Linked DNA regions of Mus musculus: regions 2, 3, 4, 5, 6 and 7 are each reported to be linked to region 1. The links are microRNA targets in miRTarBase. Many come from high-throughput screens and were not tested one by one. Region 1 holds a microRNA gene; each other region holds the end of a gene's coding sequence.

What was found. Region 1 holds the annotated microRNA mmu-miR-9-5p (UCUUUGGUUAUCUAGCUGUAUGA, at 1,444-1,466, shown strand). A microRNA usually pairs through its seed, bases 2 to 8, with sites in the 3' UTR of a target mRNA and lowers its output. Matches are read on the target gene's strand: a 7mer-m8 pairs with bases 2 to 8, a 7mer-A1 pairs with bases 2 to 7 and ends in A, and an 8mer does both.
Region 2: miRTarBase lists Egr1 as a target of mmu-miR-9-5p. The part of its 3' UTR that is shown has no 7-base or 8-base seed match.
Region 3: the mRNA of Vbp1 is a reported target of mmu-miR-9-5p. The part of its 3' UTR that is shown has no 7-base or 8-base seed match.
Region 4: miRTarBase lists Thrsp as a target of mmu-miR-9-5p. The part of its 3' UTR that is shown has no 7-base or 8-base seed match.
Region 5: miRTarBase lists Scrn1 as a target of mmu-miR-9-5p. The part of its 3' UTR that is shown has no 7-base or 8-base seed match.
Region 6: the mRNA of Clstn1 is a reported target of mmu-miR-9-5p. Seed matches in the 3' UTR shown: 7mer-A1 at 2,381-2,387.
Region 7: the mRNA of Ufl1 is a reported target of mmu-miR-9-5p. Seed matches in the 3' UTR shown: 7mer-m8 at 2,129-2,135.

The regions. Positions count from the first base shown.
Region 1 is chr13:83,737,378-83,741,593 of GRCm38, forward strand. Mir9-2 (microRNA 9-2) reads left to right here and starts at 1,437; the gene lies at 1,437-1,508. It overlaps C130071C03Rik (RIKEN cDNA C130071C03 gene), which reads left to right. Exons shown (of 4, transcript NR_152245.1): 4 at 793-3,931. It overlaps Gm51268 (predicted gene, 51268), which reads right to left and starts at 1,499; the gene lies at 1,444-1,499.
Region 2 is chr18:34,863,319-34,867,534 of GRCm38, reverse strand. It overlaps Egr1 (early growth response 1), which reads right to left. Exons shown (of 2, transcript NM_007913.5): 2 at 2,579-4,216. The coding sequence ends at 3,767. Among named protein-coding and RNA genes, the nearest start is that of Egr1, 4.2 kb to the right of the region's middle.
Region 3 is chrX:75,533,338-75,537,553 of GRCm38, forward strand. Vbp1 (von Hippel-Lindau binding protein 1) reads left to right here. Exons shown (of 6, transcript NM_011692.2): 6 at 571-1,609. The coding sequence ends at 641. Among named protein-coding and RNA genes, the nearest start is that of Gm15384, 16 kb to the right of the region's middle.
Region 4 is chr7:97,413,677-97,417,892 of GRCm38, forward strand. It overlaps Thrsp (thyroid hormone responsive), which reads right to left and starts at 3,874. Exons shown (of 2, transcript NM_009381.3): 1 at 3,356-3,874. The coding sequence starts at 3,827. The coding sequence ends at 3,375.
Region 5 is chr6:54,505,587-54,509,802 of GRCm38, reverse strand. It overlaps Scrn1 (secernin 1), which reads left to right. Exons shown (of 8, transcript NM_027268.2): 8 at 441-987. The coding sequence ends at 599. Among named protein-coding and RNA genes, the nearest start is that of Gm52863, 4.7 kb to the left of the region's middle.
Region 6 is chr4:149,646,661-149,650,876 of GRCm38, reverse strand. Clstn1 (calsyntenin 1) reads right to left here. Exons shown (of 19, transcript NM_023051.5): 18 at 3,927-4,111; 19 at 1,978-3,504. The coding sequence ends at 3,313. It overlaps Pik3cd (phosphatidylinositol-4,5-bisphosphate 3-kinase catalytic subunit delta), which reads left to right. Exons shown (of 22, transcript NM_001164052.1): 22 at 100-1,709. The coding sequence ends at 237. Among named protein-coding and RNA genes, the nearest start is that of Mir7023, 6.8 kb to the left of the region's middle.
Region 7 is chr4:25,246,912-25,251,127 of GRCm38, reverse strand. It overlaps Ufl1 (UFM1 specific ligase 1), which reads left to right. Exons shown (of 20, transcript NM_001355512.1): 19 at 440-702; 20 at 1,159-3,979. The coding sequence ends at 658. The region is part of intron 1 of LOC115489977 (a long non-coding RNA gene); the gene reads right to left. Among named protein-coding and RNA genes, the nearest start is that of Fhl5, 6.2 kb to the right of the region's middle.

The DNA.
Region 1 (4,216 bases):
CAGCAGAGTTGTGTACAACATTGAAACTATTGCTGCAATGTTTACCTGTGCAGCATGCTAACCCCCACACACACTCTATATGCAAAGCATTTTTAAAAAAGAAGCCCCACTGTTTAGATCGTGCAGTTCGAACTTACAGAACAAATATGCTGCCCTATCGCCACGGTACACAGATAGAAAACATGACTGAGCTGTAAAGCCATTAAAAACATAACACCAAAGCAAATTGTCATTGTAACCATCGACTCACTGCGTAAAAACAGAGCTGATTCCCAGCCCCAGAAAGCGAGGCCCTGCTTTAAGCAATAGTAAAGTGCCTTCCATCTGCCTGCCTATGCAATCTGCCAGAAGAGAAATGCAGGCAAAGAAGTTCCCCAGACCTGAAATGCTTTTATCTATCCTTAGAGAGAGATTTTCTCCATTCTTTGGATATTAGAGCGATCTACACTAGCGCCAAGGAGGTAAAAGGCCGCGGGTTGCTTTTCAAGGAGCAGTCCGTAGTGCTAGTGGATGAAATGTTGATTGAGAATATAGGGACTGCTGCAAAGCTGCTGCTGCCGTCGCCGCCACCGCTGCCGCCGTCGCCGCCGCCGTCGCCTGTGCTACTCCTGGCAGCAGGCGTGGGGCAGTTGGGTGACCACTGATGCATATCAATAACCATGTACTTGAGATTTCTCATGACATCATCATTACCTTGGTCTCCCGCAGTCTCAAACCTTTGACCTTGCCGGGCTGGTCCACAATTTGGCGGTGAAAGCCCCTCCAATGATGGCCCTTTTCTCCTTCTTTCAGACCGGGGCAGCAGTACGCCAGCAAGAGGGCATGCTCTGCCCGCCTAGAAGTCCTAAGAAATCGAGGATCTCCCTTAAAACATTCACATACAAGATATGTGCAATCAAGCTGCCTGCACTTGGTAAAAAAGATCATGATGCCTAACCCAATGATCCGGAGCAGATCTTTGAATCAGCTGTCACTTCTATAGAATGGGATTTCCCCCTTCTTCCTCTTTAACCAGCGTTGGAAACTGCCGATGGCTTTATACATCTCAGTAGAGGAAGGCTAAAGAATCTTCCGTGAGAATGAAGCAATTTACAATGCAAATAGAGGCCTGTGAAGAGAAGGACACTGCTGCTCACCCCCAACAGCTTGCTGCACCTTAGTCTCTGGTCTTAATTTCTGATACTCATAGATGAATTGTTGGCTAACGATACTGGAGATTACTTGCTGGAAGGGGAAAAGTTTGGAATAAACTCTGAATGCAACAGATCTCATTTGGATGTTCTAGCCGCACACACTAAGACAGAAACCAGGTCATGTTTACATGAAAGGAGAAGCTTAAACGCGGCAAGTACCCCGGAGGACTACGCTTCCCTAAAGCCAAAGAGGATCGAGATCTGGAGTTCAGCCAGAGGAAGGCAGCCTTGTGAGGGAAGCGAGTTGTTATCTTTGGTTATCTAGCTGTATGAGTGTATTGGTCTTCATAAAGCTAGATAACCGAAAGTAAAAACTCCTTCAAGGTCACCGAGGAACGTTCCGGAAAGAAAGACTGCAACCAAGAGACAGTAAAAACCAGAAAGGTCAGGAATGCTTATTGAATCTAACTTTTTTTATCTTATGATTGAAAGTGGGATGCAAGAAAATTAAGTGACACGCATATTGAAATCTAAAGGGGCCAGGCTTTGAGGGGCTTGTACAACTGGAGAGGAGAATTGTGTAGTGTTTTTTACGGGTGACGATGCATGTATTTTCTATATTGTTCATTTTGAAGCAAACGTTTACATATGAGGTTTTTTTTTTCTTTTTTTTTCTTAGAAAGCTGTTATAGTGATGTCTGGTACCTCGCTTAAAAATGATTTCATAATTATGTAGATTTGGGCTGTTCCTATCTGAGGCCCCTCCCCCAAGTTTGAAGCTTGTGCCTGGAAACTTTCTATGTATTTGGGTGTGTACATCAAATTCTGTGAAGTTAGACTTTCAGTAAAGCTTATACTGGAAGGTTAATAATTTATATCTACCGAAGACTTAGAGCTAGCAGGGAAAAGGGGTGGGGGCAAAGGCTGATTTTTATTCTTCTATTCAAAATACAAGGACAGATGCTTCTCTGTTCCAAGAGGGTTTCCTTGAGGAAGCTACTGAAGCAGAAAGACATGATGGAGACGAGATCGCCTCCCCTCTTGTCAAAGTGTTAAAAAAATGTTCTGTCTTACTCTGCGCCTAGCATTGGAAATGAAAGTGACATTTACGCCACAACCCACGTGTGCGCCTCCTCTCTTTTTGTTTAAGGATGATCAGGTCTATCCAGGAAACAGCTCTGGCATCCCAAACTGAAATAATTAGGACGTATATAGACCTGACAAAAATGGAAAGGGGGTGGGGAATCTGAGGGTCTGTCTTGCCTAATTGATTCCGCTAAACGGAAAGCAGGAGATGTGAACGGCAGGACGCTCCGATTCCCACGCTCGGGGGCAAGTGGTAAAGCCTGGCCGGCAGCCTATGACAGACAGCCCTGTTGGGGGGTAGGGGTATGAAAAAAACATCAAGCACACACACACCATACTCATCTCCATCGCTTAAGAAAGTAAAGGCATTTCCCACCCACAGCCATCTGCAGCCTCCCAAATGGCAACACCAACTGGTTGGTAGCTGCTATGTACTGTCTCTGTTCATTTTTAAACCTCTGTTTAATCTGGCCATGATTAAATTTGGATTTCTCCTTTGGTTGAAATTTTCACCATTTAAGGAAAACAAGTGGAAAGGGTGCCAAGAGTGCCCCAGAACTGCATGCCCTTCTCAGAGAAGTCCTCAGTATGTGGTTAGGGCCTTGTGACCACCTTTGGCTTTTGTTTTGGCTGTGTTATATTTTAAAGTCATGTCTCATAGCATTCATTATTATGACTTACTTCATCGGGTTGTTTACTTCCTTGTGTGACACACAGGAACTTGGCCTACTTATGCTAATCTACATTCTGGAAATAAAGCTATAAAGTCATCAGTCTGTAGAAAGTTGATTACAATCACAATATGTTAGAGAACTTGTTTTGTTTTAGAATTGTCCTAGCGGATGAGCTTTTTTTTTCCCTTTTCCCCCTCCTCTTCCTTTTCTTCCTCCTCTTCCCTCTTCATCTAAAAGTCACTAGTCCCAGCATAAACTTTGAGGCTTTGGAGAAACCACTGTAGTCCTTTTTTGAAGTTCCTTGCATCCTGTTACATTTTATCAGGCAAACATTTGTATAGGCATTTGCACATAAATACAAGCATTGCAATGAGAAAAAAAATTCCAAAATTGCTTCTTTTCTTTCATATGGCCTAAATTACTGACACTCCCAAATGCATAAGTTTTCTTCAGGGACAGTACATTTTTCTTTATAGCTTCAACTTCTTGTAAGATTGACACCAGAGAAACCTGTAAAGCCACTGGTAGTTTCATTTAGAAAAGCCAAGAGACTTTAATAACACAACTTCTCAGTTTGGCCGCTGTACACGTGCCAAAGTTTGACTGCTGTAGAGGCAGTCGAGAAGACCCTTGCTTATTTACCTTGGAAGCACTGTTTGTGCAAACAAGCTTTCATTGTTAAGTGCCTGTATTCCTTTCATTTGCTTCATGTCCAGGGGTGCTATTTACCTAGAACCATTGTCTACTACAATTAACATTTACATTACAAAGTGTGTGCTTTTCTTTCTCAAGGAGGTTCAATTAAGGCAATAAGATGTTTGCTGGGGAAACCTATTGTTTACTCAAAGCTCTCAATGGAGTCACATTACTGAAGTTTTTGCCTACATCTTGGGTCGTTTATGTAAATATGTTAACTATAACATCTAAGGAAAATAAACAATATTAAAATTATGTGTTTGCCATTGTCATATCCAACTTGCTTTGTATCATACTAATGTTACATAACTTATCGATCAATAAAAATACATTTCAATGTTATTTTCATTTTACTTTTTGCTGTCCCACTGCTCCTGCTGCAACATGTCCCAGATTTTCTTTTTTTCTATTACACATCAAACTTCTGACATTTTGTTTTATTTGTGTGTGTTGAAGGAGGTACCATATCTAAGCATGAGTCTAATGGTGTCCAAGATAATCTCTACAGTGACCTTATCATAAGGTGATATTTCTTTAAAATTTGAAATATTCCGAAGGCACGCACATTGAAGTCAAAAGCAGTGTAACTATCAGTTAAGTAGTTCTTTGAAAGCTAGTTTTAACATT
Region 2 (4,216 bases), not on the chromosome of region 1:
CTGGCAGAAAATATCCACCCTATGCTATTCTGACCTGGTTCCATTTCTCCTGTGAGCCAGGAAGGGTAGAAGGAAGCTCACAGGGGAAAACAGAAGAACTGAATATGACAGGGAGGCCAAGTTCTTTTCTTCTAAGTGGAACCTTTCCAAATGCATGGGGCTGACCATTCCTGAAATTCAAGAGAAAAAGACTTATTGAGAACTTCAAGAGAGCCAGGCCGTAGTGGTGCACACCTTTAGTCCCAGCACTGGGAAGGCAGGTGGATTTCTTTGAGTTCAAGGCCAGCCTGTTCTTATAGACTGAGTTCCAGGACAGCCAGAGAAACTGTGTCTTGAAATAGCTCACCCTGCCAAAAAGGAAAAGAAGCTAGAGAATTCCTAGAGGGCCAGCATGTTCTACCTCAGATCTACATCTGTTTCTCCCCCTTTCTCATTTCTTCCATGCTATGGTCTTGGTCTTTTTCATATTTCCGAGATGCTAAACAATGTCCCCGGGTAGCAATCACTAGTTCAGCACTCTTTCCAAATGTCAGTTTTTACTATGGTCACAGCTTTTATCAGCACTGTTCTGAGCCTTTGGTTGCAGCTATCCCTCTTAGGAGCAAGAGATGAAATTAATGCTGTTGTCATTTTGGTTGCTTCTTCTGGAACCCAGGCTTTGTGCATGTTCTGAAAGAGCCCTGTTGGAGAGCTACACCCTCAGACCCTGGCAACACACCTATATTCTTGGTCTATAAAACAGGGCAATTTTTTGAGTGGTGCCCTATTTCAATCATGCAAAAGAACTTGAGTTTGGAGTGTTAGAATCTAATAAAAACCTTGGTGCCAAGACTGGCAAAAATTGGCTAGCAATCTTGGCAGAATTTCTCAGCCAGCCATCTGCCTAGGAATGACCTTGTTATCAAGGCCAGTACCAAAAGCCACCCCGGATGCAAGGCAGCAATGGGGCTCTCTGGGAAACAAGGCCAGTTATTTCACACGAGGGCCCTCAAACTCCACGGTAAAGAAGTTGCCTTGACTTCTTCCTCCCCACACACTTGGACTTCCGATGCGCTTTGTTTCTTGGGAATTTGGGGTGAGGAAGGCTAAGGAATGCACAGCAGGCACAGACCTGTGTTCCTAAGTACAGAGGGAGATGGAGGAGGGTAGGTGGGGCTAGGAAGAGGTCTGCCAACACAAATGTCCTATGGGGACTTGGCAGTTTTGCCAGGAGGTTGGCAGGGATGTGCTCTTGTCTAGAGAAGGTGCCCGGTCCTCCTGCTTGGGGCTGAGGAATCCAGAGTCATGGGAAAGGGCAGGGAAGGTCTAGGATTTGAAGGAACCAGGCCGATGCCCAGGGACTGCTGGAATTTCCCAAGACAGAGGAGGCCAGGGTTGAGAACCTGAAGGGCCCTCACAGGAAAAGGAGTAGGTGGAGGTGAGTTTACCCTCCATCCACTTAGTTCCTGGTGACCATGCTGGGTGGAAGGGACACTCTGGGGTCTGGGGTCAAAGGTGAGTGGGGAGCCAAGGCTTGGGAATTCAGCCCACCAAATCCACTGTACCATCTGCCCAAAGGTTGTGGGCATCTGATCAGTTTACAGAAGACTTAGGGCACATTAGGGTGGCAGGAAGCACTTGTACAATACTCCATTCTAGCGACACTCCACCCTATTGGCCGTCATCTTCCCTGTCCGAGCATCACACGGGCCCTGAGGTCTAACCCCTACTTAGGCTTCTGTTTCATGTTCTCACCTGTTCCAAGGCCCCAGCTGGACGGGACAACTGTCTGTGTGCTTCCAGAGAGCCACACGCTGGCCCTTCTTGTGTAACATACCATTGTGCTGTCATTTTTGGCTCAACATCTCCATCTCTCCAACCATCTGCAATCCTGGAACAGGAGCTGTCCTTGCTCTGTCATGGCCAGGTCAAAGGCTCTCACTGAGGAGACAGATGCTCACATACCCGCAAGGATCACTCCAGCAGTGCGTAGACCTTAGGCTCCAGGGTCAAGAGAACCTCCTACTGTGTACCTCCCACTCACTGGGAACATACTTTGCCACCCTCCTCCTACCCATTCTGCCCCGTCTCCCAGGAAGCTGCCAAGAATGGCCATTCCAACTGGCAAAGGGATGAGCTCTGCTTCCTGGATTCTTGGCTGGACAACTAGCCCTTGTTTTTAAGTTGCTGGGGACATGCAAGGAGGGAGAAGTTGAGTCACCCTTAGCCTTGTAACTGTTTCCTAAAGCCTGTGTTGTCTACCTCTTATCTCCTATGAGCACATCTGGCCTGGAGCAGATTTCTCGAATATTGGGTAGAGATAAGGGATTGGATTGGCCACCACCTCTGGCCACGTGGCCTCTGGCTCCAATTCATCAACACAAAGCTATAGTTGACCAGCCCGAAGCAGAACAAACACTGGCCCAGGTCTGTTTAACACGTGCATGGTCAGTTCCCAGAACCACCACACATGGGTAAGGACTCAGGCTGAAAAACACCTTGACCCCCTTTTAGGCAGGAACGGGTACTCCGCAGCCCTACCCCAAGCCCAGGAGAAACAACAGGCTACAGTTTCTTTATTTTTCCTTTTAATTTTTCTGAAGGATACACACCACATATCCCATGGGCAATAGAGCGCATTCAATGTGTTTATAAGCCAAACAGGTTACTTTGTTTAAGCAAACACAAGTACAAAGTAAAATAAAACCACAAAATAATGAACTTCATGTTCATAACATACAAAAACTGCAGCCTACTCAGTAGGTAACCACAACACTCCAACTCCTGAATAGATGTATAAATTTACATTTTCAGTTTAGAAAAATAGACTTTTGAGAGTTCAGATTTTTGTTTAAATTTTTTCTTCTTACATTCTGGAGACCGAAAGCTCAGCTCAGCCCTCTTCCTCGTTTTTGCTCTCAAAGCCTCCCCCAAAACATCACTCCTACCCCCTTAAGGCTAAGGTGAGCGTGTCCCTCACATCTGCGCATGTCAAGCCATCGGCAAGGCGTGTCACACAAAAGGCACCAAGACGTGAAACTTTTGAAACCAAAGGGACGGGCAAAAAAATTCTCAAAAACAAAACCCAACCAAACAAACCATACTTTGTCACATGTGAGAGTTACAGTCGAGCAGTATTTACAAAATTAACGGAACAACACTCTGACACATGCTCCAGTTAATACCTAGGACTGCTGCTTGAAAAAAAAAATGCTTCAAACCTAATGTCACAGCAGAGTCATCACAAAATAGAGGATCATCATTGGTTTGCTTGGCTTTGCTCCCCCCTCCCCCAAAGTGAGGATTTAACTCCAAATAATACAATAGAGTATGCAAATTATCTTCACATCAAGAATACCCCAAGGAAAACAAAATCCATGGCACAGATGCTGTACAAAGATGCAGGGCAGGGTTCTGAGGGCCCAAACCCATTTTTTTTTCTTTATGCCAACTTGATGGTCTAGCGCTGAAGGGAGCAAGGGCCAGGCATGTGATGGAGAGGATACTGAAATGATTTATCCAATACCATGCAAATCAAGTCCTTTGGATAGAGGTGAAGAACTTGGACATGGCTGTTTCAGGCAGCTGAAGTCAAAGGGAACAGGACGGGGGAGGCAGGGATGGTAAGTGAAAGGGCTGTTGGCCAACGGTCCTTCTACTCGTGAGTAGAAGGACTTGGCTCTGAGATCTTCCATCTGACCTAAGAGGTGGCCCCTCTTGCGGCCATCTCTTCCCTCCTGTGCTTTTATGTCTTTCCTGCCTCTCCCTTTGCTTTCTTTTATTCCCTTTAGCAAATTTCAATTGTCCTGGGAGAAAAGGTCGCTGTCATGTCTGAAAGACCAGTTGAGGTGCTGAAGGAGCTGCTGACGCCCGCAGACGGGAAGCTGCTGACCTGGGTGGGGAAAGCAGGTGGAACGGAGGCAAAGGTGGTGGCCACTGACGGCGACGGGAAGCCACTGTGCGCAGGAGATGGGTAGGTGGAGGAGCCAGGAGAGGAGTAGGAAGTGGGCACAGGGGATGGGAATGAGGTGGTGGCAGGGGATGGGTAGGAGGTAGCCACTGGGGATGGGTAAGAAGAGAGTGAAGAGGCAGCCGGGGAGGCCACCACACTTTTGTCTGCTTTCTTGTCCTTCTGTCTTAAATGGATTTTGGTATGCCTCTTGCGTTCATCACTCCTGGCAAACTTCCTCCCACAAATGTCACAGGCAAAAGGCTTCTCGCCTGTGTGGGTGCGGAT
Region 3 (4,216 bases), not on the chromosome of region 1:
TATAATACTGTATAAACTGGAAAAGTTAGAATAGTAGACAGGCATTAGAGTATGTTCTAATGAATCTAAACTCCATGAAGGAAGGGGCTTCACCTAGCTTGTTCAAGGCTTAGTCAAAACACAGTAGGTATTTAGTAAACTAAAGGATCTGTTTAGCCCAGATAAAATTTTGGGTAATCGTATTCATTTTAACATTTTATGTTAGGATATAGAATGAACAGAATTTTCTTAGCAATTTTTTTGTTTTTTGTTGTTTATTGTTTGTTTGTTTGTTTTCGAGACAGGGTTTCTCTGTGTAGCCCTGGCTGTCCTGGAACTCACTCTGTAGACCAGGCTGGCCTTGAACTCAGAAATCCACCTGCCCCTACCTCCCGAGTGCTGGAATCAAAGGCGTGCGCCACCACGCCCTGCTCTTAACAATTGGTAGTATAGCAACATAGCTATCAACAGTATTTGCCACTAGTATCTTTGTGATTTCCGTGTTTTCTTTTGTTTTAGCTTTATGAGTAAATTATAATTTCATTGTTACCTTTGGTATTATATTTTCATTTTCCTTGACAGTTATTGCAGATATGGCCAGGGTTTATAATTGGGATGTAAAACGAAGAAACAAAGATGATTCTACCAAGAATAAAGCATAACACTGGCAATTGAAAATGTGATTCAGGTTTTCAAACATGTTAAATAAGCCAAGGTTTAAAGATTGATCTAATTTTCACTGATTTTTTTTTTCACAGCAAGATTAAAATTTAAAAACACCATTTTATTTATTTATGAAAACAAAATTACTTTCAAATATTTTATGAAATTACCAGTATTTTTTTCATATTTCCCTAAAATGTAATGCTGCTTTTGTTTTATTTTATCTGTTATAAGACAACTCCTAACTGAAATGGCCGAGAACTGTGAGGAATGCTATGGAAGCTGCTGAATACTGGGCACCAGAGCAGTTTTCTTTTTCTTTATTGGTTGATATTACTCTCACTGGATATGGTAAACCTTTTAGAGGCAGGAAAGACATACAGTTCCAATATTTGTAAGCTTGTTCTCCTTTAGTACTTGAAGGGCATTATCATCTTTTGTTGCTGTTTTGTTCTGTAAATGGGGTTTCATGTATTTCTGCCTAACAAGTAGCTTTTATAATACTCTGAACTTTTCAGAAAATTGTTATTTGCTTTCCTACACAGTATGAGGGCTATTGACATCCATAACACTTTGATCCCAAGTAAGTATAGTGTGTCTACAATGACAATATAAGGGAGACTTGATCAATGCTAGAGAGTACTACCCATTCAAAACTGTAAGCTAAGGTAATTTTTATATTATGTAACAGTTTTCCAAAGCACCTCGAACAGGAAGAGTAACATAAATATAAATCTGCATTATTTGAAAAGAGTTGTAAGCTTTTTTATTCATGATAAAATTTACATAGGACAGATATAATCTCTGGAAAGCCATTGGTACTGACTGTGGTAAAAGTACTTGGTGATACAGATTCTGGTAAAAACACATGCATGTTATTCCATCTCTGTGTAGTAAAAAGTATACTTGTACAATGTTTTGTACTTGTATTTCATGTTATTAAAATAGTGATGTTCAACCTGTTGCCTGACAATTTTTTCATTTTAATCTTTGTCTTAATCTATATATGTTTCTGGCAAATACCATAAAATAGGTAAAACAATTATTTATATTGCATTGGTCTGGAGACTTTTAAGTCCAATTGAAATACAAGGGCAGAACCTTCATGATTTACTCATCCCCCCCCCCCCGTCCCCGTCCCCATATCGTAATACTTTGGGGGTATTAGACAGGAGAAAGAAAATCCCAGATAATATCTTTTTGTTTTGTTTTGTTTTGTTTGTTTTCGAGACAGGGTTTCTCTGTATCTCCCTGGCTGTCCTGGAACTCACTCTGTAGACCAGGCTGGCCTCCAACTCAGAAATCTGCCTGCCTCTGCCTCCCGAGTGCTGGGATTAAAGGCGTGCACCACCATGCCCAGCTCTCAGATAATATCTTAACATGAGTCTCCACAGTTTTTATGAGATGCATTTATTGTACATAACTAGTATATTTTTTATTTATTCTCTTTTGTGCTCTTTTTTTTTTTTTTTTTTTGGCTTTTTCGAGACAGGGTTTCTCTGTGTAGCCCTGGCTGACCTGGCACTCGCTTTGTAGACCGGGCTGGCCTCGAACTCAGAAATCTGCCTGCCTCTGCCTCCCAAGTGCTGGGATTAAAGGTGTGCGCCACCACGCCCGGCTTTTTTTTTTTTTTAAAGTTTTTTTTTATTACATATTTTCCTCAATTACATTTCCAATGCTATCCCAAAAGTCCCCCATACCCTCCCCCCCACTTCCCTACCCACTCATTCCCATTTTTTTTGGCCCTGGCGTTCCCCTGTACTGGGGCATATACAGTTTGCGTGTCCAATGGGCCTCTCTTTCCAGTGATGGCCGACTAAAAATTCTACCAGAGAACTCCTAAACCTGATAAACAGCTTTGGTGAAGTAGCTGGATATAAAATTAACTCAAACAAGTCAATGGCCTTTCTCTACACAAAGAATAAACAGGCTGAAAAAGAAATTAGGGAAATAACACCCTTCTCAATAGTCACAAATAATATAAAATAACTAGTATATTTTAAGAGCTTTATATTTTGTAGAAAGAACAGAAAACCTTTGGAAGGAATAAGCAAGTAAGATTTTAATCTAAAATATACCAAACTTTCTTTTTTATTATTTATTATTTTGGACAATACATTTTCCCTTTCATTAACTCCTCTCAAACTTTCTTTTAGTTTTTCTTTTATAAATTTTCTTTAGTTTTCCTTTTAAAAATTTTTAAAATTTTAGAATTTGTAGTTTGTAAATACTATATTTCCCACACTGTAGTAATTATATTGGTACAAGATGTCCCTGTTAATATAGGAATGGTATTCTTCTTTTGTCTTAAATATAAAAATTTAAATATGAATTTGCAAGCCGGGTGTGGTGGCGCACACCTTTAATCCCAGCGCTTGGGAGGCAGAGGCAAGCGGATTTCTGAGTTCGAGGCTAGCCTCGTCTACAAAGTGAGTTCCTGGACAGCCAGGGCTATACAGAGAAACCCTGCCTCAAAAAACAAAACCAACCAACCAAACAAACAAAAACAACAAAACAGACAATAAGAATTTGCAGATGATGTCATTTTTTTCATGATATACAGTTTTAGAATAATATAACCATCTAGGTATATAACATGGTGTCATCAGACACAATATACACAAAATATACTGAGTGAGAATATATGGGCTGAAGTTTGTTAAACTTGATGTACAGTAACTTCAGTTTAACGTTTTCCTTTATAAAATCTTTACATGTGAGGAACACTGAAAAATAATGGGGTGGAGATGTTTAAATTCTACTTGAAGTCCTTAACCAACCAACCTTCTTCCTTTCACCTTTCCTTTCCTATCTCTCTTTTTTGATTAGGGCATTACTCTATCCCTAGCTGGACTGAAACTCACTGTGATCCTGAGTTGGCCTTAGACTCATGATCTTCCTGCCTCAGGCTCCCAAAAGCTAAGATTGGATGTTTGTGCTACCATCTCTACCTACTTCCCTGTTAATCACTATCCCTATGCTCAGCTTCTATTTCTTGTTTTATGCATAAATTTATAGAAAAAATAGTATATTTATAATGTATTCATTCTTAACATGAAACTGGCTCATAAAATGCGTTTTTCCTTTGAGACAGACTCTGAATGTCCCAAGTTTGCAGGTCCCGCTGCTCCTACCTACCAAGAGTTAAGATTATAAGCATGAATCACCAGGCCATGATTCATGCTTATTTTATGATTATTTTATTATTACTCTCATAATACTCTTAATATTATTTTCTAGTTTTAAAATAAACTATAAGTGAACCACAGTTAGCTCATTGTTTTATTAGGTATTTGGGTTGCATCTAAACTATGCCTTTCTGTTTTCATATAAGACTTTTTCCTGTATTTAGAATTTTTTCTGAAACTAGATTGCCAAAAAATGAAATTATAGAGTCAAAAGTTCTAGCATTTTACTTTCAAGTTAACAGAGCTGTTTTGTTAATAGAGCTTGATACAGCTGCTTTGAGAAATAAGTGAAGCATTGTTAACTAAGACCCACAGTAGCTTGAAAAACTGTTTTCCTTCTCTAAAAGCTCAGGATCATGGGTAATTTGTTCATCTTTAAAGCAGAG
Region 4 (4,216 bases), not on the chromosome of region 1:
GTGGTTATCAACCTTCCTGATGGTGTGACCCTTTAACACAGCTTCTCATGTTGTGGTGAACCTCAACCATAAAAGTTTTTGTTGCTACTTCATAGCTGTAACTTTGCTTCTGTTATGAATTGTAACAAATACCCGTGTTTTGTAGTGGTTGTAGGCAACCCTTGTGAAAGGGTCGTTTGACCCCCAGGTTGAGAACCACTGCGTGAGAGTCCATGAGCACTGCATGAGAGTCCATGAGAGCTGGGGTTATTTATGTTTTCTCCTACATCCTGTTAAGAGATATTAAGAAGCTGAAGGGCAAGAGGCCTACGATGGCAGAAAGAGTAGCAGCAGAGCTAAGAGAAGAGCCCAGATTTCTGAACTTCTGCTATGCCATACTGCCCCATGAATAAAAACAGAGTTGTTGGACCACTGTGGTCAAGAAGGGTTGATCTGACCTTCAAAGCTATGTGACTGGTCAGAGAATATGGTTTCTACTCCATCTGCTCCACCCACTTGCCATGTCCACCAAAGGCTGCAGGCTTCATTTTTCTAAAGGAGCAGGAAACCAACCAGTACAGAAGGAAAGAATGAGGTTTATCAGGGCAAGCAATTTGGGGGCTTATCTTTCTCCTCTGTCTTCCAGGGGTTTTTGGTTGTTGGTTGGTTGGTTTAGTTTGAGTTTTGAGATAAGGACTTGCATAGCACAGACTGACCTCAAGCACGCTATGTAGCTTAGGGTGGTCTTGAACTTCTAATCTTCCTGCCTCTACCTCCCAATTGCTGGAATTATAGGCATGAACCACCATGCCTAGCAAGTCTCCAATTTCTTTCAATGAAAAAGGTAAAAACAAAAAAAACTGTGGCCTGGCAAGATGGCTTAGCAGCTAAGAACACTTGAGGCACACAACCTTGGGTGGCCTGACCTTGACCTCTAGAACTGTTAGTGGGGAGAGAAACCCAGCCTGGTTGAATTCAAGGAAATCCTTTGGAAGGTAGCCCAGGAATCCTCAAGGGGAAAGGAAAATAGGGCGGAGGTTGACAGTTCAGGTTTGAGGTGAAGAGAAAACAGCAAAGAAAGTACTTGGTGCAGAAGACTGTCTAGTCTCTGTGAGGGAAGGGAGGCATGTTGATTCCTGTCTTTCCAAAATTTGTAAAATTGAGTGTGATGGAAAGAACCCTCAGCTCAAAGCTGGGGCCAGTGTTACTTCTTGCCTGCTGCTTGCCTGCCTGCTTGCTTGTTTGCTTGCTTGCTTGTTTGCTTGCTTGCTTAGATTTGGGTTTCTGAGGCTGACCTGGAACTACCAATCCTGCTTCTGCCTGGGGGTCCTGGGCATATATCATGTATCATATACCATATACCATGTACTGTATACCAAGTACCATATACCATGTATAATATACCATGTACCATATACCATATACCGTACACCATGTACTGTATACCATGTACCATATACCATGTACCGTATACCTGGCTTTTGTCCCTTTACAATGTGACTTCAGATGAGTCACTCAGTTAACTTTCATTTCCTTGCTAGTAAACGGAGGTGCAATTCTTTTTATGTTGGGGTGGGGTGGGAGGCAGTGCACAGGCCACAGTGCACACATGGAGGACTGAGGACAGCTTGCAGAAGTCAATTCTCTCTCTCCCATGTGAGCCCCAGGGATCAATATCAGGTTGTCAGTCAGACTTGGTGACAGGTGCCTTTACCAGCCGAGCCATCTCACCCACCCCAGAGGTACAAATCTAGTCTCTCAGTCCTAGGCAAGGTGGTCTATAACTGATGCCAGTTTATAATAAAATGGGGCTGGCAGGTGGCCCATGGTCGTGACCAGCAGACGCTGTAATCTGATCTCTCCCAATCCCCGCCTAGGAGGGACCCATAGTCTAGGCCCTTCTCCGACAATGTGCTGCTCTATACCATGACCTGTTTGCTTGCTGTTTATTTTCATTTCACAATCACAGCCTCTATGCACGGGCACATGGGCTCAGGAATTCCCAAAAGACATGATTCCACACCCACATGTGACTGGAATAATTCAAATATCAAAATAGTTGCTGTTTGTCCTGTTGCAACCTAGAAACGGTGGAGCTCACCTACATGCCCCTATGTGATAACGTGCGATAACATGTGATAACGTGTGATAACATGAGATAACGTGCGATAACGTGTGAATACATGTGATAACGTGCGATTACATACCCTGTGTTGTTGAGAGGGCACGAGCACATACACACAGAATTCATAGTGCACATCTACACAAATACATCTCCCTTGGTAAGGTTCTTCACTTGCAAAACACAAGCAACAAACCTCATCTTTGGCAGTCAGGCACAGTGATATCTGCAATCCCAGAATTTGGGAGACATGCAGGAGCCTCCCGAGTTGGAGACCTACTTGGACAATTAGTGAGACTCCATTTCCAAAACATAAATAACCAAAATCTAAAAAAGCTCTCATCTTTGTAGGTTTATTCAGAACTTTTGCAGCAACTGAGGCAATGCTGGCATTTAGTGTGCAAAGGAGATCTATGGCAGCAGTGGCCTTAAGGTTTGGGAGTGGCGCATGCCCTGGAGTTAGAGTGTATGTATCTCAACTCTGGGGACAGCCCATGCTATAATCAGATTTTTTTTTTTAAGTTAACATAAAAGCTGGGCATGGTGTGCATGTCTTTAATGCTGGTACTCTGGAACCTGAGGCAGAAGAATCTCTACGTTTCCAGGTCAGGCAGGGCTTTATAGAGAGACCCTATTAAAAAATAAAAAGGAGAAAGGAAGCCGGGGAAGAGTAGCTATGACTGAGTCTGGGGTGGTGAGATAGCTCAGCAGGTGGAGTTCATCTTCCCGAGCCTGGAGATCTGCGCTTCATCCCTGGAACCCACATTAAAGCCAGAGGGAGAGAACTGACCCCACAGATCCATCCTCTGACCTCTGCAGACACCCCAGAGCACGCCATGTATGCCCCAAATGGCTCAGCAGATGAAGATGCCTGCCAGCAAGTCTGATGATCAGAGTTCAACCCCTCAGACCCATATGTTGTCTGTCCTCTGACCTCCACATACATGCACCCCCACTCCAAACACACACACACACACACACACACACACACACACACACACACACACACACACTCAGGAGGGATGTGTTCAGAGACTACAGTTCTGTCCTCTGTAGGAGGTCACGGTCATTTCTTCTCAATACTGGGTGAGAAGGCTGAGAAGTTAGGCTCAGTTCTGGGCCTTCCCAAGTGATAGTCCCAATACCCTGATGTGAGGGCTCACTTGGCCTCCTTCTACTAAGCTAAACCGCCATTTATCTCCTCCCTCAGAACACCCTTTATGGAGTATAACCCACTAGCACGGCCACCATTACCTTCAGAAGAGTCAAAGACCTACAGAACCTGCCCTGTCATTTCCTGGTATTTCCGCGTCACCTCCTGTGCTTTCCGGGTCAGGTGGGTAAGGATGTGATGGAGGCTGCAGAAGTGCAGGTGGAACTGGGCTTCTAGGTCCAGCTCCTCCGAGATCCTGTCTTCTTCGGCCTCCTCCGTTTCAGCAGCGTCGTTCTCAGCCTCGCTGGTTTCGTTGCCAGCCACCTTGGCCTGCCATTCCTCCCTTGGCAGCAGCCCGTGGTCCACTTCTACACAGATGCTCTTGAGCATGGTGAAGTAGGTATAGAGATCAGGGGCTCCGTCCTGGACCGAGCCCCCAGGCCCACTCAGCTGCACATCCCTCAGAAGGCTGGGGATCATCACCACCTGCTCCATGTTCCGCACCACCGCGGAGTACCGATCCATGACTGTCAGCAGGCAGTTCTTGGGATAGCGTTTCGTTAGCACTTGCATGGTTGCTTCCTTCCTCAGAGTCCGGCAGACTGCCCCAGCGCTATTTCTAGGCTTTTGAGCAGACAGCAAATTGACAGGATGCCAAAGCCCAACCATTGGAGCAACACAGCCCTGTTTTGAGCCAATCCCAGCGTTTGGTCCCCAGTGTCTGTATCAGGTGATCCATCTACCCAGGGACAAACCTGCCAGGCTTCTGCTTGTCATGACTGCTTCAGCAGGAGGCCAACTCTTCCTTCAGCAGCTCGCCCAGCCAGCTAGAGGAAAGCTGTGTCCCCTTGGCACCTAGTACACTTGACTGCAGGCAATCAATAGTTCTTTTAGGTTACCCGAAATCACATTACCTCGATGCTGCCTGCTTCCCTCCTAACGCACACAGCTCACTTCTTCAA
Region 5 (4,216 bases), not on the chromosome of region 1:
TGGTGATTATGGCGGAGAGAAGCTATGTCATTCTGGAGGAAGGACCTCCCACAGAGCTCTGAAGATGGGGCACAAGTTGGCACAGTGCTGAGGGTGGAAAGAGCCTCCAGGGGACAGAGTCACCTGAGCCATGGGGAGAGAATATCACAGAGGATAGCCATGCATATGGCTGAAGGGATAGATACACAAGGCAAGAGGCCAGTGCATCTCGACTGACACTCGGTAGTCAGGATTTATTCTGATTTCGGACAGCTGGTGGCCGTGCAAGTGTTTCTGAGCAGGCTGGTGCTGTAACCATATTCTAAATCGGCCCCCATGGTGGTGGCGGTTTGGATCAGTGGAGGTGGGGGGGATGGGATGGAGGCCAGGAAGCCAGCGGGATCCCGGGCTGTCACTATCCACTGCCATGACCATTCTGCACGGCTGTGTCCTTTCCTCAGGAGCAAGGTCGCACCCTGAGGAAGACCATGCTGGAGTTGGAGAAGCAAGGCCTGGAGGCCATGGACGAGATTCTGAGCAGCCCCGAGCCCCCGGACCCCGCCGAGGTGGGGGACCTATTCTATGACTGTGTGGACACCGAGATGAAGTTCTTTAAGTGATGTAAGCACCCTCACCCTTACTCAAAACTTCCCACCCGACTAAATTACCAGCAGATAAACACTCTTCTGTGTGAGTAAACCGAGAGTTACCATGTGGCCTCCTTGTGTCTAAATGTTCCCTCTGTTCAGCTTAGCAACCCTCCCCCCTTTGCTATGTAACGCGATCCCATTTGCCTCTTGCTCCATTGTGTGATAAGCTATGGGCTTGAAGATGTTCTTATATTTCAGTGACAATGGACACCTTAGCTTCTTATGAGGAACTTGAGTTCCCTCCGCCTTGGACAGGGCTGCAGGGCCACGCTGGTGGGAAAGACAAGAGCTGTGAAGGGCCTGGTCCCTCTCTAGATAGTGGTTTCTTTAGGGTTAACAAAAGGCTTTTGTTCATACCAAAGGCTTTTGTGTGTGGATGGGGGAGAGCCCCCCAGCTTCCTGCCACAGAGCACAGGCCTGTATGTAGCTCATAGTCCCCACAATGTCCTGGGAAGGAACAGAGGACTGGTACAGTCCCAGCTCTGCTCTGGTGTATGCGATTTTTGAAAGACCTGTCTTCTGTGAGCTGTGCTCATGTGCAGTGGAGCAGACCTGCTTCCGCCTGGAGGAGAGCTGGGCATCCATGTTAGCCACAGTTCCTCATCCACAGTGCTCCCACCTGAGGACCTGGCCCTGTGTGGAAATTGATTGGGATTTGATTGTCAGCAACTTGTATGAGATTCATTAAATGGCCCTGGCATACAGCCACACACAGCTGCAAATCTCAGCCAAAGAGGGAAAGGAAAGGGTCGCTCTTGACTGCTGAGAGCATAGCTAATGTACCTGGAATCTGAGCAGCCCTGGTCTCAGCAGAGCCTGAAATTAAACTCATTTGTTTCCAGCATCCGTGTGTTTGCACAAAGGATTTGACGCCACAGGAGTGTGTGAGGAAGACAGGGCGGGCTGAGGGCAGAAGGCAGTGAGACATTTATCCACAGAACAGTCTCCCTCGTCCCACCCACTGCCTCGTTAACTAGATCCCACATCAGTGTGCTGAGTACCTGACCTCCAGGATCTCCTCCACTTTGTTCTCACACCCCACTGCCCAACAGATTCCTTTGGATGCTGTCTGGAACAGGAAAGAGGTATAGGTGCCTATCCACTGCCACTCTGCACGACTGAAGGGCCAGGCGTAAAGATGACTGACAGAAGTGTAGACTAGAGGAGAGGCTAGAGAGCATGTGCTGCGGGGCCTAATTATAGGTCCTCACTCTTGACAGGGCTGAGCAAACAGAAACTGTCCACCAGTGATCTCAAGCATGGCTTAGGGCTGGCAGGGACCTGAGCCCTCATTTCACAATGTGATTCAGGCTACAGGTTTTTTTGGGGGGACAAATCTTGTTTCTCTTCCAACCCGAGAGAGAGAGAGAGAGAGAGAGAGAGAGAGAGAGAGAGAGAGAGAGAGAGAATGTCTACTGTGAGCTCTTTCCTTGATTGGTTTGTGGGTTCCATGTATAAACAAATGGCAAAACACAAGAGATGGGACAAACTCATGACAAACTGGTATCTCTTGCTGATGGACAGAGGGACACAGGTAGAGCAGCTAAGCTGAAAGTGCCCAGCAGGTGCAAAGGGGAAAAAGAACAAGGTTTGAGGAGGAAGTAGTTGCCTGTCCCAGCCTCATCTGCTGAGCTCTTTAAGGAAGGTGGTGCAGAAAGCCGTGCTGTGCTTTCCCTGTGTGGTCTGCCCTCCACCTCTGAGGCCAGCTCATCAGATCTGACCTGCCTGAGACAACCCAGGTAATTTGGGGTTTGATCAGAGGTCTAATGGTAGCAAACGACACAGCGACCTTCTTCATTACTTTGGCCAAGGTTGAAGATGGCTGTGACGCTATTATGCAGGTGTGCACTAGAAAACCCAGTGGTTGTTTTTATTATTGACTGTAGTCCAGCATCACGGAGAAAGGCCAATCCTCTTAGGAGCATTGGACAGCTCAACCATGTTGTCATCTTACCACCAGAGGGCACAGCAGCCCTCTAAGGGTTTTCTCCTCCGGCAATGGATAAGGAGCCCAGCTATGAAAGCTTTGCTTACTGGGATGGATGGGGGCAGACAAGAGGACAGTAGGGAATCTGCCGAGGTGCCCGCACGTACTTTAGTGAGTTTAGCCAAACTAACAGCAGAAATAATACTGGATTTTGAGTAAGCAGACTTAGGAGAATATTTGTTTTAAAATTCATGTAACAGATTTCCCTTTGAAGAAACACTTCTGACATGGGTAATTTCTCAATCAGGGGTCACTTTTATGAACAGCATGCAGAAAAATAGATCTTCGGGAATGTTTAAGATCGATCAGTAAATAACTTCCCAGAAGACCACCCTATGTCTATTAAGCCTGAGGGCAGGGGATCCTGAGCACACTTTGGGCAGAAATAAGTCACGATCATGAAGGATGGACTGCCTGTCTCACCTGTCCCACAGAACCTAACCTAAGCTAGCTAGTGTTGTGGAGATGAGATTTGCAGTAAATGAAAATGGCAGCCTAGCTGGGGGCAGACACCCGAGTGTCTACGTAAGGTAGTAAAGTGGAAATAGTCTTTGCTCATTCTTGGGATGCCTGAACGCTAGCTAAGCATCTGATAAACGCTGTGGAGACTTAGCCCAACACAAGCTCCAGTGTCTGTAGGAGTCGGCCTCACAAGCTGATGAAGCAGCTGTACGCCTAGTAGAGCTCGGTGGTGACGCTCCCTTACTCTTAGATGAATCAGTAGCTGTGAAAATAACTGTCACCACAAAATTACTGTCATCGAACATTGACGCAGGTGATGCTACTCTGGAAGGACCTCAGGGCAGCCAGGTGTGCGTGTCTTGAAATTACTGACTTGAGTTCTTGTATCACAACTAATTTCAGCTGAGAGTTCAGCCTTGGGAGAAAGCACACCATGGTGGGAGAGGTGTGGCAGGCATTGCTCGAGCATCCTGGCTCTCCCATGCCTCCCGCAGCCGCGGCATTTCATTCTACATGGCGCTGAGCCCCAACTCCTGTCCTGTGGTGTGTGTCACACGTGTTTTTACTGACTGAAGCCAACCATCCTGAACTGTCATGCAGAGAATTCTTGCAGGAATCAATAAGGACGTGTCTCTAATCACGTGTGCGAACTGAAATGTCATAGCTGAAGCAGTATAACAGAAAACCTTTGTTTCCTGTGGGGGGAGGACTGAACATGTGGTCTTAACAGCCTTTTGTACAGATATCTACAAATCAAACGATGTCTCTATCCAGTGCTTGCCCTCGGAGTGTCTTTAAATGCACCAAGTGTACAATAAAAACATGGAAGTCAATACCTAGGAGCCTCTTGTTTGTGTCTCATGGACACAGTCGGCACCAGTCACAGCACACACGTATGAGGGACTGGGATTTTCCGGTTGGAATCTTTAGAAAACTCAACCACCTCTTGAGGGCCCTACACTATGCATCTCTACAAAGACAAATTCGCTGTTTAAAAATGAAGCCCAGCTGGGTGTGGTGGGGTACCCTTCTAATCCCAGTACTTGGGAGGCAGAGAAGCAGACGGATCTCTGAGTTCGAGGACAGCCTGGTCTACAATGAGAAACCCTGTCTCCAATAACAATGAAAACACCCCAAA
Region 6 (4,216 bases), not on the chromosome of region 1:
TGAATACAGAGAGAATTTAGCATCCTATTGGGCTTCATTCTGGATTGCGTAACAGAGCAAAGTCCCTCAGTGTCACTCTGCTGTGTGTGGTTTGTCCAGGACTCTCTGGCACTGGGGAAGACGGAGGAAGAGGCGCTAAAGCACTTCCGGGTGAAGTTCAACGAAGCTCTCCGAGAAAGCTGGAAAACCAAAGTCAACTGGCTGGCGCACAATGTGTCCAAGGATAACCGACAGTAGGAGGCGCCCCCTGGTGGTCATACGGCGGTTCCCTCCTGGCTTTCAGCCCTAGAGGTAAAAGGACAGTCCTGGAGACCAGGCATGTCCAGTGGTCACCAAAGGGACCCCAGAGCCTGAACTGTCCCTCATGGGGAAGAACCACACCACTGCTTCTTGTTTACACTGGTAATTTATTTATGACTCGAAATGTTTAAGGAACAGAATAGCCATAAATGGAAGTGCATTTCTGTGCAGGGGAGGGGTGATGTCCTCATGATGTCATCCCCGGTCAGCACTGTAACAGCACCTTGAGGATCGAACCCCTAGTCTTCCAACCTGTGGGTCTTGGCCCAGCAAGGACAGTTCTTGGGGCCTTCTTCCCAGGCTCCCAGCAGGCTGCCTGGAACAAGCCTGGCGGTCACCTGGTGCCTCCATCCTCAGCTCACCTCCGGCCACCGTTGTGTGGCCTACCCAACCAAGCCTCCGGCAGCTCTTGAGGAAGCCAGGAGCTTCCCTCTAGACTCAGGCACACTTGCTCGGCACTGCTGAAGCGACCTCTTGGGTTTGGGTACGGGAACGCCCTCACCTCTCATTTGCGGGTAAGAACACGATATGTAGACTCTGTCCCTTACCCCGATGGCTGGGGTAAGGGACCTGGCCTCCACTACAGTTAGTGTATTCCAGGCCTTGAAGCACTCAGACCGGTGCCCCATTTAGCTCCGTGTGGTCACGAATCAAGACGAAGGGCCAGCCAGAATTGAAGTCCTCTTCGAAGTTCGTGTGAGGGGCACACAAGGCAGCTTTATGGACGGACAGGACTGATCTCTTCCAGAGCTGAAATCGCAGAAGGCAGCTGGGGAGCTAGGCTCGAAAAGTGTGAGCAAGGACGAGAACGGAATTCAGTGTAGTCTGGGCAGTCAGAGGAACTCGAGAAACGCAGTCTCGGCCTCCTCCCAGGGATCCAAACGCCAGCCACCCGCCCGGCTTTTAGAGAGCCCAGCTCAGGGGTCGCACATGCTTATCGTCCCACCCCAAGCACATCTCCATGTATCAGCTGCCACCTCAGGACCTGGATCTCCCGGTAGCATTCTGAGACTTTGAGAACCATCACCGCTGTCTCGCCAGCAGCCCAGAACATGGCTCAAGGAGCCCCTTCATGTTGATGAGCCCAGGGTCCAGCAGTGAGCGGTGGTGCCTCCGCAGCACCCGCTGAACCCCTAGTCTGCCCCACCAACTCTGAAATAGGAAACGTGTCTGTGTGTGTGTATGTATGTATGCCATGTTATTTATTGAAAAGAGTCTAGGTGCTCTCTGGTGTGGCTGCAGATTCTGCACAGGCTCGGCCTTTCTGGGTTGGGTGTGTACTTGGCTGGAAGACGGGTTTTTTGTTAAGTTTTTTCCTCTCATTGATGGGGGCTGAGACCAGTTTGTGCAACCTTGACACAACAGGTAAAGACAGGTGAAAAGAAATAAAAACGTTTTTATGTTCTTAAGTTCTTGGCTCAAATAACAAGGGGACTTGGGGGGATACAGTGTACTGGTTGAGCCCTTGTCTGCGAAGTGCAAAGCTTCAGGTACATTCCTTAGTACCATAAAAATTAATAATCCTTGCCCGGCATGGTGGACATCTGTAATCCCAGCACTGAGCAGGCAGAGGCAGGAGGATTGCTTTAAGTTTGAGCCCAGCCTATCTTCATAAATCCCTCAACCCCTGCCCCAACCCGTACCCAACAAACATGACAGAATGGACCCCACTCAGGCTGGAGTTAGAACCAGAACTTTATTATAACGCATACACTTTCTGACCTAGTGTCGATATACACATCTTAAAGGGGACCCTGCGGCTACTGACACGACAGTGTCCCTCTCTTCGTTAGCCTGTTTCCATCTAAGAAAGCAGCTACAGGGGACAGGACATGGGAGGGCGGCCACAGACAGCACGGCGGCATCCTTCGAACTAGCAGCAACAGCAGCGAGGACTGGATGTCCCAGCTGGAGCAGTCTAAACTCTTGACTGTGAATGAAGAGCTGTGCTGTGTGGGTGGTACCTGCTGTCTCCTATCTGCTGGGTCTTAGATCTTAGCCCAAACCCAACAGCACGCGGCATCCCATGGGGCCTCTGGGGAGGAGAGAAAAGATTGTTCTGGAGCATTGTAGCAGTTTATCTTTGGGCCTCGGGGTCTCCTTTTGGTGCTGTTGTGCAGACTTGCTCAGAACCGTGGTCTTCCAAGCGAGGAGCCTGACCGCCTGCACCTTTGCTGTCCGTTCCCAGCTACACCATTTCACCAACAGGGAGGCTCACGTTAATAAGCAGAAACCATGTGGCTGCCAGTCACAGGCGTGTACAGGAAAGGCCAGGGGCTTTGGCAACATCCTGGCTGTTCCCAGCCTCTAATGTGGTTGGAGGCTCGTGGGGCTGGCCCCCCCAGACAGCACTTGAAAGCCATGGCCCCGGCCACGTGGCTGTACGGAAACCCTAGCAAGGGTGGGCCCCAGTGACTTGGGCCTCTCCAACCTGGTTTCTTGGGAGGGAAGAGGGAGGAAGAGGCCCTCCTGGCCCCGCATTCTGACTTTACATTCCTGTCCTGGACTACTAGCACAGAGGACACACAGAATCCCAATTTATTTACAAAATATTAAAAAGTCGGTTGGCCATCTACATATTAACCCCCTCTGCTCTCCCACTTTATACATGCACTAGTTTGGGAAAAAAAAATAAAAAAACTTTTAAAAATAAGAGAAATGGTTACTGACTGCGTGGGAGTAATTTTTCACCCTCTGTCGACAAGTCCGCTCAGTGCGGCTTCTCTGGAGGTCCCAGGTGCTGGTGTCCTCTCCCTGGCCGACAGGGAACTCCAGACACACTTGGGGTCTGAGGTGCTGTGGGGCCCCTGCCCTGGGGAGGAAGCGCCAGCTTCTAGCAAAACTGCAATGGTGATGGGCGGGGAGGGTGGAGCCGGTGGTCCCACACACCAAGCACGGGAGGACTTTGAGCAGTGGGGGAAGGGTCTGCAGACCTGCTGGTCAAAATGATTTTGTACATCGTGGACCCGTGGGGCTGGGAGAGAGTCTGGAGAGCAGGCGCTGAGTGCGGGTTTAGTAGCTGAGTGTGGAGTCATCCCATTCCAGCTGTCGGGTGGCATTCTGGCCGTCTCCGGGGCCTCCTTCCTCCTCCTCACTGCTCTCAGACTCGGCACTGGTGATGTCTTCCTCTTCCTCCCCATCTTCGCTCTCCTCCTCCTCCTCCTCCTCTTCCTCCTCCTCACTGCTGTGCTGGTCCTCATATGTCTGGCAAAGAGACGACGGCGTAAATCTAGCCTGTAGCCCCATCGCCCAGTGTCTATCTACTAAAAGCCACAAAGGAAAACACAGCCAACCCCACAGTGACAGAAGGGCCTGAGTGGTACTGGGAGTCGCCTCGCCAAAGTGACCCGGCAGGTGACGCTCTCATTAGCAACATGGATACCACTCACATGGGATGGGGTGCTCAATGCAGAGGGGCGGAGCTTAGTCCTGTCATACCACGGACATCTTGGGGTAAAGAAGCCAAGAGCGTCAGTTGCCTGCCTATGCTACTCACGGAGGCCTTCAGCAAGGGCTTCCTCATCTGAAGGTGACCCCCCTAATCTAATCTCACTGACCCAACCTGCAAGCACATGACCAGGGTCTGGGTCTCCGTGGCGCTTTGTGGTTGGCCCTTCTGTGCCTACCTCCATGGGGTTGACGGTGATGGTCAAGGCAGAGTCATCCCAGTCCATCTCATTCTCCTTCCCCGTGTCCTGGTCCCGCATCGTTCGCTGATGTGCAGCCCGGATCCGAAACACCCCCAGGATGATCATGAAAACCAGGAAGCTGACACACACCACAATCACCACTGTCGCCGTGCTGGGGACAACTGCCATGGGGTTTGAAGACCAGACACACAGCTTTTGTGACGCTGCTTACACCCAAAGAGCTCCCCCCATCCCATCCCTCCTTGGCCTCCTCAACTACTCTAGGT
Region 7 (4,216 bases), not on the chromosome of region 1:
ACTGTAAGATGCATGGTGAAAAGTCCTGTGGTTTTAAAGGTTAAGTTTTCAGGAAAGATATAAGAATCTCTGAACTTCTGTCTCAGTTTCCCTAGTTTTGATTTAGCCCCCAAGGACCCTTCAAAAGTCTTGTCCAGTTTAGCTAAGGAATCCAACCCCTAGCTAAAAGCACCTTGGCTTCTTTAGTCCTTATTATTTTGTGTCTTAGGTCGTAGAACCTGGCTAAATCAGATTCCTGTGACATGGTCTGCACAGGTCTTATGTCTCCTGATCTGCACTCTGAGAACACAGACCTTGCTTGCCAGGTTCAGCTTTCCATTAACATGCCATTGTTCCGTGAAGATAAGGCTATTCTGTTTGTGCTGTTCAAACAAATTCTATTCTCCATGTTCACAGAAAATGAGATGTGCTTGGTACAGTTTCTTCTTTCTTTCCACAGGATCAACATACTCTCTTGGTAAAATATCAAGGTTTGGTTGTGAAACAGTTAGTCAGTCAAAATAAGAAGACTGGGCAGGGAGAGGATCCGTCAAGCGATGAATTAGACAAGGAACAACATGATGTCACAAACGCTACTCGGAAAGAGCTTCAGGAACTGTCATTATCCATTAAGGACCTTGTTCTCAAGTCCAGGAAATCATCTGTCACAGAGGAGTAATGCCCCTAACTGACTTTTGTTACATAGTATTTTCCCCAAAGTAGGTGAGTGATCACAAAATGAGTCACTCAGCACACCTACTCCCCCTCCAACCCGCCCCACACAAGTCAAATAAAGTAGTGGTGTGGTAATAGATGCAGACTTTATGGGAAGCTTTACTGCTGAGTTCTCCGTGAAACGTTTTCTTTTCATATAATCCGATGTGTAATTTTTTATGTAATAAAATTTCTTCAAAGAGTTCTGAATCTAGAACATATTATATGCTTTAATGTTCTTCCAGATGTTAAAATGAAAAATAAAATAGAATACTTTTTATCTCTAGGAAAGGACTTGTTTGTTATTTAATTTATATGGTATATTTTTTACAAGGAAAAATGTTTATATGTCTGAAATAAAAAAAAAGGAATCAGCTTTACTTTTAAATTTATAGTGAATGCTTTAGAAGTAGAAATTTTCAAATATATTTTGTATTCCTAAGTTCTGGCTCTTGCTTTTAACAGCTAGAAGGAAGGCCTCCTGCATGAACATCTCCAGAGGCCTCAGAAGTGATTTAACAAGTGAGAACACTGAAGAAGCAAGCATTGCTGTGTTCGAATAAAGCAAGCCACAGGGTACCGTGAGGGAAAGCGTGAGGCACGCCGCAGAACAGTGCAAACCATGTGTCTGTCTGAGGGGCTAAAGGCACAGAGATGCTTCTGTCATTAGCCCAGTTTAGAGTTCTAAGGTTTAGTTGTTTGATTTCCGTGGCTGTTTTTACCCTTAGTTCTTTGTTGGAAATTGTATGACAGGTAGCTAGGCTGTTCTAATGAACACAGAATCTGTGGGTGTTTAAACTGTGCAGAAATTATATTCTAAAAGTAGACGTGTTTAAAAGTTGAATTTTTGTTTTCTATGATTATTAGGTAAGACATACTAAAACAGTTCCTTGGAACAATAATTTAAAGCAAGTTATAAGCAACATCCTATTGTCAAAATTTTAGTTTTTCTGAATGTAATAAAATTAAAACCCAGATGTTTAAGGAATGCTATTTTATATAATGTCAATGGAATTTTTATATTTTAAAATGTTTAAATATATAAATAACACTACCTCTTTTCTGAAATGGCAAAGTGTTAATAATACTGCATAGAAGTCCTTAATTATTAATTAAAAATTTTATTAAAGTTGATGATAGAGATTTATAGAAAACATTAAGGGGCTGTAGAGGTGGCTCAGTGGGTGCTGCTGTTGTTGTTGTTGCTGTTGTTGTTGTTGTTGTTGTTGCTGTTGTTGTTGTTGTTGATGGTGATGATTTGCAGCATCACATGGATGCTTTGTATCTCCAGTCCCAGGAAAGCCAATGCTTTCTGGCCACTCCGGGCACTAAGCATACACAAGATGTATAGGCGCACATGCAGGCAAAACACCCATACACATAAAAGAATATAAATGATTTCACATGGGTAATTTTTATTGTATATTTTCATATAACCAAAGGAAGAAAAGTAATAAATTCTATGACTCCAAAACTACTTTATTTTCGTATTCAGCTTCCAAATTAGTACCCAACCTATTCAACTTTTGTTTAATAACATGTTTCAAAAAATACAAAAGTGATCCATATTTGCTTCATACTCTACAATTAAAGTAAACACAAGAGATGATCACATAAACTCAGTTTAATTACAAAACTAAAGTAGGAAAATGTAAAGCTGTGTTAATCTTACTTGCATTTATTTCATTTGTCCAAACAGTTTCTATTTTTCCTTCATAAAAAAACATGTTTATAAATTATACAGCTGATTTTGTCTCTATAGATTTAATTTCTGATATTTTTTAATGGACTGAGTTAAGAACATTATTTAAAATAAAGTTGTCTATTCTATTACATTTTATGTTATACAGTCTATGTAATGCTTATATTTTAAATTATTCTGATTGTTAATGGAGATGACATTTCTTATTACACAAAAATAACTTCCTTGTATGTTCTATTGCTTGAATGTTTGCCATTATCTTACTAAATCATTTCTCAGCCAGATTTCAGCAAATCTATAATGTTGTTAGGTCTGTTAACTGTTGCCATTATAGGAGAGATCTGGGAAAACACGCCCCGGTTTCCATCTTTACACTGTTATAAAGGAAACCCACTCTGACCACCTACAACAGCGGTTCTCAACTTGTGGGTTGTGCCTGACCCCTCGTTAGTTGTCAAAGGACCCTTTCGTGGGGGTTGCCCAGTGCCATGGAAAAAACATATATTTACATTTTGATTCATGAAAGTAGCAAACTTACAGTTATGAAGTAACAATAAAATAATTTCATGGCTGGGAGTCAATACAACTTCATGGCTGGGGGTCAATACAACATCAACTATATTAAAGGGTCACAGCATTAGGAAAGTTGAGAACCACTGCCCTAGAAGATAGAATCTCACTGTGCTTTGAGCAAAGACCATAATGCTATAGAATAGTAATAAAAAGTGTATAACACTCTGTGTAGGGCTACCCTGGACATGTTAGAGAAGCTTTTTACCCAGATAATGAACAAGGTCAAAGTTTACCAATGAACAATCATTGGTTTTGTCGAAATGTCATCAACCACGGGCATAAATGTTTTATTGTTGCCTTTCTATCAAAAACTACTTATGATAAATTGGATGAAAGGAGAGTGGAGAGGAAACTTTATTTTCTTTAAATTCTATGAAGTCTTTACCTCAGTAGACCTGAGAGAGAAGGTAAAAATACACATTGAAAACTCTGGGATGATATTCCACACGCATTTTGATTCATTACTATTGACAGGATTGTTTTTTAACGAAAAAACAATGTTTAACTATTAAAAAAATTAAAATAATAAGTAGCCTTAAAAAGGGTTAGACATATTGTTCTACTTTTATGTACATTTAACAAATGAGAAAAGAGATAGGAGAGTCGTATACATTCACTAAGAACCCTGACTTACAGGTGTTCAGAAAACAGTTGCACGACACACAAAAGGAGGAGGAACATTTAGTTAAGTATGATTCATGTTCACAGTCTAGTACACAAGAGAGAAATCCTTTGTCTGCCTCAGCCAGCCAGCCAAAAGTACAAAAGTTAGTTCATCTTTTATGCTTCAATGGGAGGAAGTAAAATTATTTCCTTTCTGAGCCTTTAGGCCTTTAACTTAATTAGACCTCAAGATTCGACAAGCAACTGAAGGCATAATGAAAGGTTGGCACAAAAAATGCATACCTGTAACCTCCTGTGGGTTACAAGATCAAAGCCAGCCTTAGCCACATGGTAGATGTCTCAGAAAATGCAGTTGTTCATGTAGTATTAAAATGTAAATGAAATTAATGCAGTAGTTTTTCTGTCCTTGTCATTCTCCCTGTGATTCTTGGGTTAAGAAACACTTGATAGATCCTTTTTTGTTGACACAAACAAGCAGTGGGCTGTGGGAGAACGAAGACCATTTCCTTAAAATTTTTATTATAGCCATTATTCCCAGCTAATTTAAAGATAATATTTTACTGATTCAGAAAGTCTCAGTGTATTAGTAAAAGCCTAGTGAGATAGCAGTGTGGATAGTCATAG